Linked DNA regions of Xenopus tropicalis. The protein of the gene in region 2 purifies or fractionates together with the protein of the main gene of each other region. This does not show direct contact. Links are inferred from orthologs where the notes say so. Each region holds a gene or a part of one and is shown on either strand. Other genes may lie near its edges.

Region 1 (3,655 bases), on a different chromosome or scaffold from region 2:
CTTTGTTTCACAGGTCTTAAGGGTCTGGGATCCGCGGACTTGTCAAAAGCTGATGAAGCTGAAGGGACACACAGACAATGTGAAGGCTCTGCTGTTAAACAGAGATGGGACACAGGTAATTGCAGTCTTGTCCAAGGCCATCTGCTAAACATAAAAAATTACTCAAAAATTGCAAACAACAAAAAAAATGCAATAAAAAAAGGACAGAACACTGTTAAATGCAGAAGCTTGTTCAAGGAAACAATCGAGTTTTATGTGTTAATTCCCACGACTTGTTCAGTGTCTCTCAGGCAGCTCTGATGGAACAATCCGACTGTGGTCTCTGGGTCAGCAAAGGTGTATAGCCACTTACCGTGTCCATGATGAAGGGGTTTGGGCTCTCCAGGTCAATGAAGGTTTCACACATGTCTATTCAGGAGGGAGAGACCGGAAGATCTATTGTACAGACCTACGGAATCCTGATATTCGCTTGCTTATATGTGAAGAAAAAGCACCAGTTCTAAAGGTATGTTTGCTTGGTGATCGGTAATTTTACTTGTTTATCTAGCGCTGAATGAAAATACCTAGCATTCTATCTCTAACCATTCTGGATTACAATCACACACATACATTGAAACTGAGAGCTAGAATCTCCATTAAATCCCCTTTATTATGCAACTGTCTGTCATCAGCTTTACGTGCCTGAATCAGTAGCAGGTGAAGCAGCTAAGAGTTAATTTTATATTTGTAACCTAAAACTTACAGGTAAGGCCCAGCCCTCTAAGTAGGAATCACTGTGAGGTGTATTTAAATCCGATTCTGTTTCTAAACACCGGTGATTGTAAAAGTCTGATTGTTTATTGTTCTACAGATGGAGCTGGATAGGTCAGCAGACCCTCCCTTGGCGCTTTGGGTCGCAACAACTAAATCCTCTGTAAATAAATGGGTAAGAATTGTTTCCGAACAATAAGAGCGGTTTTAGCGGTTTTGCATTTAATCTTCTAGTATAAAGAAAACAAAACTGACATGAATCATTTTGTTTCCTCTTCCTGCATTAGTGATTAAAGGGTAACTTCACCCAACATAAAATGCAATTCTAAGCAACTTTCCTTTATTCATTCTATAAACCTTTAAAATGGTGTTAAAGTGGGTTTTGTAAATGTCATTGAAACCAGTTTATTCCTTTCTTTTCTTTGGTTCGGACTCTTGAAACAAACAGAAGCCTCTTAGACAGATAGCTGACAACATCTTTCTGTTTCAGAACCCTCCCCGAGACCTCTTTATCTAACTAGGTGGCTTGTGCTACTTTGTTTCATGAGTCAGAACTATTAGTGCAGACTATATAATTATTAATAGCTCCTTTAAACAACAGCTTTGAAGCAAATGAACATTTTTAATGGATAATAATGTATTTTGGAAGTTGCTTACAGTTTTTTAGGGTAGACATCAGCCCTTTAGGGCTCTGGCACACGGGGAGATTAGTCACCCGCAACAAATCTTGCTGTTCGCGGGCGACTAATCTCCCCGAATTGCCATCCCACCTGCGACAATGTAAGTCGCCGGTGGGATGGCACACACGGCGGCGAGATTTCAGCAGATCGCCGAAAATGCCTCGCGAGGCAACTTCGGCGATTTGCCGAAATCGCCTGCGCAGCGTGTGCCATCCCACCGGCGACTTACATTGTCGCCGGTGGGATGGGAATTCGGGGAGATTAGTCTCCCGCAAACAGGGAGATGTGTCGCGGGCCTAATCTCCCCGTGTGCTAGAGCCCTTAAATGCAGTTCTAAACGCACAACAGTTAATCCTGACATAGTTTTGTTTTAGCCTATCAAAGGTATCCTGAACTTCAGATCTTCCGGAGATTATGAGAATGACTGCAGCACTCCACTCAGTCCTATTTGCTCTCAGCCCGACCAGGTCATTAAAGGTAACGGCGCTGGAATTATTTCTATGATACATTATTTTTGTGTTGCTTGTGTAACACTGACAGTGTCACTTGCTAAGACTTTAATGTATTCTCTTCCTAGGGGGCGCTAGCATCATCCAGTGCAATATTCTCAATGATAAAAGGCACATATTAACCAAAGACACTAATAACAATGTGGCATACTGGGATGTTTTAAAGGTAAGATACAGTCTTACACTGTGGTGTTGTAGGTAATTGTTTCTGGTCCCTTGCAGTTTAAATTGATAAGACAATTGCTTCAGCACACAGTCTGTTCCCATGCTCCTTGGTTACTCCCATTGTAACCTTTAATAGCACCTTGCATTTGTCCATTCTTGGTGATCTCTAGCACCATGAAAGTTCTTTATTTAAAAGCTTTCCACAGGTCATGACAAGCACGTGTGAATACATTTTATGCTTAAAAGCCTTGCCTCTATGTGACTATTTCAGACTTGATTTGGAAACACCCTATGGCAGTTGCTGGTGGTGGCAGATGGGGAATAGTCCGGGTACCAGGTGTAGGTGTAAGGTGTAGAGAGCTCTTCAGCCTGTGTGATTAGATCTAGTATAACAGACATGATGGCCAAAGCCATACAACACTATATGTGTGATGCTCGAGATAAAGGTCATGGTCTGTTCTTGCCTTCCCAGCATCCAATCAAACTGTTACATAAAAAGGGTTGTTTACCTTTTTAATTAACTTTTAGAATAATGTAAAGAGTGATATTCTGAGACAATTTTCAATCCGTCTTCATTTTTCATTTGTGTTTTTTATTTATTTATTGAGCTCGGAATTACAGCAGGTATCTCTAGCCCTAGTAACCAGGCAGGGTTTTGAATGAAAGACTAGAATATGAATAGGAGAGGGCCTGATAAGATAAATAAGTCATAAAAAAATGACAATAAACAATAACAAATTAATAATTTTAGCCTCGCAGAACAATAGCTCAAGGGCTGCCGGTATCAGTGAAAAAAGAGGATCAATTAAAGTTGCTGCTTTTGTTTGCAGGCTTGCAAAGTCGAGGATCTGGGAAAAGTCGATTTTGAAGAAGAAATAAAGAAAAGGTTTAAGATGGTTTATGTACCAAACTGGTTCTCAGTCGATCTAAAGACTGGAGTAAGTAAATATTTTTTTGGGTCTGTTTATTCTTTTCATATTTCAGTAAATGTGTTCTGATCCCCAGTGGGCAGGGCAGCTCATTCCAGTATTGCACCCTGAGTGTGTGTAAGGTTTATTCTTAAAATCCGAAATACACACAATCCTATATTTTGTGTTTTTTTTATCTATTAGCCTTGCCAGTAAATGATGCCTTAATTGGAACTATAGAGCACTTATACAATTTACATTGCCTGTGCAAAGACATAGTTATGCCCGTTTTAGTTATGTGTTTATGGCGCCCACCCAGGCCATATGAGGCAGTGCATTGACTGAACATATTAACATTGGCATGGTAGGAGAGGGCTTGATGCTTATATTCAGCACTTCTGTTTCTGGGGGTGAGTCTGCTCTAGGTAAGCTTTGCTGTTCTACTTGCCAGATGCTGACGATAACACTAGATGAGAGTGACTGCTTTGCCGCGTGGGTTTCTGCGAAGGATGCTGGATTCAGCAGTCCGGATGGATCTGACCCAAAATGTGAGATCCAAGCACAAATTGTTTGCTTGTCCGTTTAAAAAATATTCTCCAGAAAAGTATGTTGTATTGCAGATTTCTGTGTTTTTATTCCTGTG
Region 2 (3,655 bases):
AACTGCTACTGTTTTCTGTTTCGTTGCCCTAAAGGTGTATAGCACCTATTCCAATGAGGAGTACGACAGGCGTAACGAGGATGTGGACCCAATGGCGGCCTCAGCTGAGTATGAGCTGGAGAAGCGGGTGGAAAGGCTGGACCTGTTCCCCGTGGAGTTAGAGAAAGGTAAAGCAAAGTACTAGAATAGGTTTCAATCAAAAAGCATATTGCATCTACATTTAGATATTGTATTCACCAGCACCTTTGGTTAGGTTTTATATTTGTTGGAAATCTGGCCCTATATCTCTCATTGCACTTCCCTACTATTCAAAACTGTTTGTTCCATTTCTCCTTAACCTGGCATAGAGCACAGGGCAGACACACCATGACCCATTGGTTGGTCTGGAAAAGTGACTATTGAAAAGCACTGTGAGCATTACCCTACCAAGCTGCTTGCACGTTTGCTGTACTTGCTGAGTATGATGTTACTGTTTTACATAGGAAACGCTGCTTTGATGAAAGGAAGTAGATCAAATGTGTTATCTGCTTAAATAAGCAACAGTCAGTTTTCCAGGTTTGTTACTCAGCTGGCTGCTGCTACATTGCTTCAGGAGCTAGAACCAGAAGTGCAAAGAATATAAAGAGTCAGACACTGCTTTCAATGGCAGTTACATTTATATTTGGGCATTTGGTGTGTTTTTATTTACGACAATGACAGTTTCCGTTTAAGGCATTTAACGAACACACAGAGTCTGTTTCATATCTACCAAACTATTTAAATACATATCTGACCTACATTATATAAACATTACGTTCTCTGGGTCTGTTTTCTTTCATATCCCACATATTCCCTACAGACTCAGTTCCTAGAATATTAAGTCACTCTCTCATCTTCTCTGTAAAAGGCATTCTTATTATTATTAACCTTTGATTATATTGTACCAAGACGCGCAGACCAGTCCCTGCACCAGCGAAGCTTACAATCTAAAGTCTCTATAACACTTATGAAACAGGCAACGGTCAATTTCATTGGGAACCATTTAACCTACCTACTTGTTTTTGTAATTATAACTCATCATAACATAAAACCTATATCAGCCTCACTTCATATCCATATTGTTTCGGTTGGACAAGGGAGCCAAATGTAACCCCTACATACCATGTACGCCATGTACTAAATCATGTGTTCATCTTAAATTATACCCCATATTTATTGAACTATGCTGTTCCTGATGATAACCAATCACTGTGCATCTCTGTAGACTCTGAGGGACTGGGAATCAGTATTATTGGGATGGGAGCCGGAGCTGACATGGGACTGGAGAAGTTGGGAATATTTGTCAAGACGGTGACAGAGGGTGGAGCTGCCCACAGAGATGGAAGGTACAGTGCTCAATTATGTTATTACTAATTACATTAAAAAATGCATGAATCTGTTATAACTTAAGAAAATAATGTTTTGGGCATATTTATAAAGCCTCCTATCCATTCTAAAATAATGGTGATCAGCTGTCATTTACTTAACAATGTCCATCTTACAAGAAATTTGATTTTTACTATACTATGATTATCATCAGGTCTCCCCCAACTAACTTGCACTGCATTAATGTCAAAACAGTGCTTGTTAATTTTGGGGGAATTAACAAATCAGATGGACACTTCCACTGAGCTCTAACACCCAATAGCATAGAATGGAGTTTGACTACTTGAACTTCTTTTCTAGATTTAGTGAATACCCACAGATAACTGGCATCTTAGTATTCCACTACTAGGCTATTTGTTTGCCAATACATAATACCTTTATTTATAGCATCTTTACTTCTCTGAGAGATATATTTTATCCTCCAGGATCCAAGTAAATGATCTTTTAGTGGAAGTCGATGGGACAAGTTTAGTGGGTGTCACCCAATCTTTTGCCGCGTCTGTCTTGAGGAACACAAAGGGACATGTAAGGTGAGGTTTAACAATTTTGTTATAGTATTTAATAACCATATTATTGTGCCCATAGTGTAAATCTGAAATAACAGCCTCTGTAACTAAATACTATATAGCTTTAGCCATCTAGGTTGCCATATTTTTTTGATTATGGCAGTGCAAAAGAGGAGTATTAGCCTAAGAATCTAACTTAAGGGTGGACCTCTTGGCCATGGCTAAATAATATGTTTGGTATTATTAGTACTATTTCAGTCTGTGGCTCTTTAGTTGTTGTTAAATGTACAGGAACATATGGTTACTACGCAATGGAATAGTCTGGTCCTACCATGAGTTCATAACTTAATATCTTGGGTTTAATTCAAAATAAGAACTACCCTGTCTGTAAGAGGCTAAGGAATTTTTACACCACAAGCCACAAGTCATGTTCATAATTGTATGATTAAATTAGGTTTTTAATTGGTCGGGAAAAGCCTGGAGAACAGAGTGAGGTGGCCCAGCTGATTCAACAGACTTTGGAACAAGAAAGGTGGCAGAGGGAGAATATGGAGCAGCGATATAATCAGTGCAATGAGGATGATGAAGAGGTGAGTGGGGTAAAATATAAGGCAGTGAACAGTGAGTGGAACTTACAAACCTATGGACCCTTACATTGACATTAAAATAGCACAACTGAGATATCCATGTATATGGAACACCATCAAGCTTAATGGAAGCACCAAAAAACAGGGCAATGCCTGGGTTGGAAGTAATAAGATTAAACAATACTAAAAACGTCTGTATATCACTGGTGGGATTATTTCAAAAATGAATTAACCATAGGCAAAGGTGTTATGGAACTAAATACAGAAGGAAGAAACAAGTAATACAGTATAAGGATCTTGAAGATAGATTGCAATATTATTTTAAGCAAAGCCTGCTTTGTTTTTTTGTTTTTCTTCAATGACCAACACTCATCCTCATCCAGACTAATAAATGCATTCATATGATGAGGGTAAGCTCTAGCCAAAAAGGTATCTTAAGCTTAGCTTATTTGTATATGTGCTGTCTGGTACTACTCATCTGAAAAGCAGCTGATGGGGCTTCTGTGGTGGAAGTTTCCCTTTTTGTAGTAAGAGTTATTGTCTGCTCGGTTGAGGTGGTGCTGAAGATTTTATGCTAGTGTTGATTTTTTTTCTTAATTGGTAAAGGTTTTATTCATAATATTTTAGACAGGGGAGTATGCAACAGATGAAGAAGATGAAGAGATGAGCCCTATGTTCCCAGGTGGGGAACTGGCTATTGAAGTGTTTGAACTTCCTGAAGGAGAAGATGCCCTGTCCCCAGTGGAGATGGACCCTGAGAAGCTAGTGCACAAATTTAAAGAGGTAATTGTCTCAAGTTTCCAAAAAAAGGCCATTAAGTAGATGGATCTCCAGTCTAGATATCAAATCATTTTTGTTCTCTTCCACAGTTGCAGATCAAACACGCAGTGACTGAGGCTGAAATTAAACAACTTAAAAGAAAGGTAAGGATTGTATGTCCATGGACAATATTGTCTCATTTCTACCAGCATCTTCCATGTTCCAACTTTCTACTCAATGCCACACATTATTTAATATTCCATTTCAACCAGTGTCTCCAACATTAACCAGCACATAGTCGCCTAGATCTAACTGGTCCCTGGCCCATTTTTAAGTTCTCTAACCACCCTGCCAACCCAGATTGCTCATTGTCTTATTGTCAACTTTCTTCTTGTAGCT
Region 3 (3,655 bases), on a different chromosome or scaffold from region 2:
GCTACACAGCGGGGTATTTATATAAACTATAGTAGGGTTTCTGTAGCAAACACCCCAGATGTACCAGTGCAGGAATGGCTGCCCCCGGGGCTACACAGCGGGGTATTTATATAAACTATAGTAGGGTTTCTGTAGCAAACACCCCAGATGTACCAGTGCAGGAATGGCTGCCCCCAGGGCTACACAGCGGGGTATTTATATAAACTATAGTAGGGTTTCTGTAGCAAACACCCCAGCTGTACCGGTGCAGGAATGGCTGCCCCCAGGGCTACACAGCGGGGTATTTATATAAACTATAGTAGGGTTTCTGTAGCAAACACCCCAGATGTACCAGTGCAGGAATGGCTGCCCCCAGGGCTACACAGCGGGGTATTTATATAAACTATAGTAGGGTTTCTGTAGCAAACACCCCAGCTGTACCAGTGCAGGAACGGCTGCCCCCGGGGCTACACAGCGGGGTATTTATATAAACTATAGTAGGGTTTCTGTAGCAAACACCCCAGATGTACCAGTGCAGGAATGGCTGCCCCCGGGGCTACACAGCAGGGTATTTATATAAACTATAGTAGGGTTTCTGTAGCAAACACACCAGTTGTACCGGTGCAGAGTAGCAGTACATTATATTGTAATAACTTTTATACACTTTAATTTTTTGGTATTACTGTTCCTTTAACTGAGCTGTTGGTATGTAGTGGGCATGGGTAACGGGAGTCAGCCTGGCATCCTTCTGGCACTGCTGCAGAGCCCAAATGTACAGCTGTTTCTAGTTATAATATAATATAAGGGAGACTTTAGTGCCGCTGTATTTGATGTCATTTACGTATTTCTTTGTACGTATGTTTGAAATTGGGGTGCACTATTTTAAGGGTGCTGCAAAATGTCCGCAATATCCAAACTCCTGCCCCTTTGGTTATACACAGAGCCAGCCAACCTCAGAGCCCGATTGTTTATCTTCAAAGCTGATTTTCTGAGTGGTTCCCATTAATTATTGCTGCTTTTTGATGGCCGCTCTCTTGAAATACATTTTGGAACACAGCTCTGTATAGTTAATAGCAACACGGTGGGTTCCTTTGTCGGTACAGCAGTGCATTCTCAGTTCAGCCTTTGATCTTTGTGCCCTTAATGGCTGCCTAATGCATTGTCTGAATAAGCAGGGTTTGTTATGACTGGAGGTACATGTACCTAAATTACATTCAAGTTGGCTTAGTATTACATATAGTACTTTTATTAATGCCAAACTGCAAGTATCCCTGTTATCCAGTCAGTCTTGACTGGAAGTGTTCCTTTTTGGCAGAAGCCCCACAGGTAACGCTCGGGGGTATAATTGCCGAATTCCTTCTAAGCTGATTATGATTGGGAGTTGACAGACCAACCTGGAGCTGCCAAGTTCAAATTGGGAAGCAGATGACAGACCAAGCAGTATTACGGATATGAAATGAAGCTAAAGACTGAACCCGCAGACTATATTCTCCCTATTTATACTTTGCTGGATGGCTGTAGCCTACTTTTCTCTATGAAAAGATGCAGTTTTATTGTCTTGCTGTTTTTTGGGCCCCAAGTGTAACCTCAGATATTTTTTTTTTTTTCCCCTGCAGTACGAGGATGCCGCCCAGGGAAGATTGTGCAGATGACAGAGGCAGAAGTGCGAGGGCTCTGTATAAAGTCCCGGGAGATCTTCCTCAGTCAGCCAATCCTGTTGGAGTTGGAAGCTCCGCTGAAGATCTGTGGTAAGTTTGGACTGACTTAACCTGGACTCAAGGGAGAATGTCATTAAATTTGAGAAATGTTGCTTCTGGAATTAACTGTACTGCAGAGTAAGATATTGGCACAGGTTACATAGCAGGTAACCAATAAGCTCTGTACAATATAATGGTGTTTTATCGGTTATCTGCTATGTATTCTGTGCATTTTCTCCTTTGAATGGCTGCCCCCATGGCTACACAGCAGCTTTGTTTACTAAACTATAGTAATGTTTCTAAAGCAAACACACCAGTTGTACCAGTGCAGGGCAACAGTATATTATATTGTTACTTTTATACACTTTTATTTTTTGGCGTTACTGTTCCTTTAAGGTTAAGGCTTAAGGTGCCCATACACCTTCAGATCCACTTGCTTGTGGAGTGGATCTTCTCCCGATATAGCCCACCCGTAGGTGGGGGATATCGGGAGAATTCAGGCTAATTTGATCGTTTGGCCCTGGGGCCAAACTATCGAATTATAACGACGGGCATAGGCAAAGTCTGTTCGGGGACCACATCAACGAGCCAATGCGGTCCCCGTCTGACTAGATTTTTTAACCTGCCTGATTTCAGGCCAGATATCGGTCGGGCAGGCCCGTCGTTGGTGCCCCTACATGGGCCGATTAGCTGCCGAATCTCTCGAAGGGACTGATGTCGGCAGCTGGAATTGGCCCGTGTATGGGGACCTTTATTCGCCTGTGTATGGGGACAGTCCAAGAGCCTGCCCATCCAATATCTCCTTAAAAAATCAGCCAGATATCTTAGGCAAGTTAGAAAATATTACTGGGTGAGGCTGGTGTTGCTAGGCTACTGTTAACTGATTGTTGACTGAATCATCTCAGTTTGACCCAGTGTATTGGTGGGCAAATGTCAGCCTTGCCAAATGAGCAGATATTAAGTGTTTGGAATCTGCTTTAATCTCTACTTATCCTCAGGGCTGCCATCAGTAATCCTTGGGCTCTAAAATACTAAGATAGCAGGCACCTCCCCCCAGGGGACCCACGTTATTAGCCCACTGGTCACCTGGACCCCCTTGCACACATGGCCACACCCTTGATCCAACCAGCCTAATTATAACAAAACTTTTCCTACTCTCTCGCAAGCCCCACCCCTTCTATGACCTATGAATCATGCTTTTTCCATCTCTGCCCCCCCCCATGGTCTGTTTGACCTCCACCATTTGGATATTTACTTTGTGTCTTGATCATCGCCAAGCATGCCCAGTAAGCACCTCCTCCAAACTGAGCATGTGCAGTGCCGCTGACACATGATGATCAGCTATCCTTTTACCTAGACCGGACAACCTACAGTATTTATTTATCACTGCAAACATACAGGAATTAGGGTATAGGTATACAGACTGTATGTGGGTGTTGCTGGCACCCACATTAGGCCGCACCTGTTTTTCAGCTGTTATGACACAATCCGTTTTACCCTTAGTAGGAGAGTATTGGGCAATATCTGCCTGACTGCCGGCGTTGTTTGTGCTTGAGGAGAAGCTGAATGATATGTATATTTTGCCTCTGTGTATGTGAGTGTCCCCTGTTCTGCCGGCTCTGCTCACACACAGGCCTCGATACAGTAAGAAGCAGCGGGTGTTTTATTTGGCCGTGTGTCAGCAGCCACCTAGGGCTCTCAGAGGGCGGCTCGTTTATCTGCTCAGCACCGAGCATGTACAAAGCCCCGTCTGTCGTCCCACAAGGAATTCTGCTCCATTCACATTGCAATTATTCCAGTTCTTAAAGATAATTTGGATGCAGGTAAGGCTGCAATTGAAAGTAGTGTCCATCCTTCCTGTTCTCTGCGTCTGACTTTTGAAACAATATGGCAGAAACCAACCCTCCTCCAGTAACGCCTATTAATGGCTTCTGCTACATAGTTTCAAGAGTCAAAGCCAGTAGTGGAGAGTTTATAAA

The links.
Region 1: the proteins of ppp1r9b (region 2) and wdr48 purify together in Homo sapiens (affinity purification with mass spectrometry; 3 studies listed by BioGRID and IntAct, with this or other methods). This does not show direct contact. The link is inferred for Xenopus tropicalis from reciprocal best matches to the Homo sapiens genes PPP1R9B and WDR48.
Region 3: the proteins of ppp1r9b (region 2) and ppp1cb purify together in Homo sapiens (affinity purification with mass spectrometry; 4 studies listed by BioGRID and IntAct, with this or other methods). This does not show direct contact. The link is inferred for Xenopus tropicalis from reciprocal best matches to the Homo sapiens genes PPP1R9B and PPP1CB.

The regions. Positions count from the first base shown.
Region 1 is NC_030682.2:13,425,913-13,429,567, reverse strand, and holds part of wdr48 (WD repeat-containing protein 48), read left to right. Parts: intron 1-13; coding exon 14-115; intron 116-280; coding exon 281-505; intron 506-850; coding exon 851-925; intron 926-1,804; coding exon 1,805-1,907; intron 1,908-2,007; coding exon 2,008-2,105; intron 2,106-2,934; coding exon 2,935-3,042; intron 3,043-3,463; coding exon 3,464-3,560; intron 3,561-3,655. UniProt on the Homo sapiens protein: Regulator of deubiquitinating complexes, which acts as a strong activator of USP1, USP12 and USP46. Enhances the USP1-mediated deubiquitination of FANCD2; USP1 being almost inactive by itself.
Region 2 is NC_030686.2:18,319,623-18,323,277, forward strand, and holds part of ppp1r9b (neurabin-2), read left to right. Parts: intron 1-34; coding exon 35-167; intron 168-1,243; coding exon 1,244-1,364; intron 1,365-1,829; coding exon 1,830-1,934; intron 1,935-2,364; coding exon 2,365-2,500; intron 2,501-3,124; coding exon 3,125-3,280; intron 3,281-3,366; coding exon 3,367-3,420; intron 3,421-3,653; coding exon 3,654-3,655. UniProt on the Homo sapiens protein: Seems to act as a scaffold protein in multiple signaling pathways. Modulates excitatory synaptic transmission and dendritic spine morphology. Binds to actin filaments (F-actin) and shows cross-linking activity. Binds along the sides of the F-actin.
Region 3 is NC_030681.2:5,955,245-5,958,899, forward strand, and holds part of ppp1cb (serine/threonine-protein phosphatase PP1-beta catalytic subunit), read left to right. Parts: intron 1-1,595; coding exon 1,596-1,727; intron 1,728-3,655. UniProt on the Homo sapiens protein: Protein phosphatase that associates with over 200 regulatory proteins to form highly specific holoenzymes which dephosphorylate hundreds of biological targets.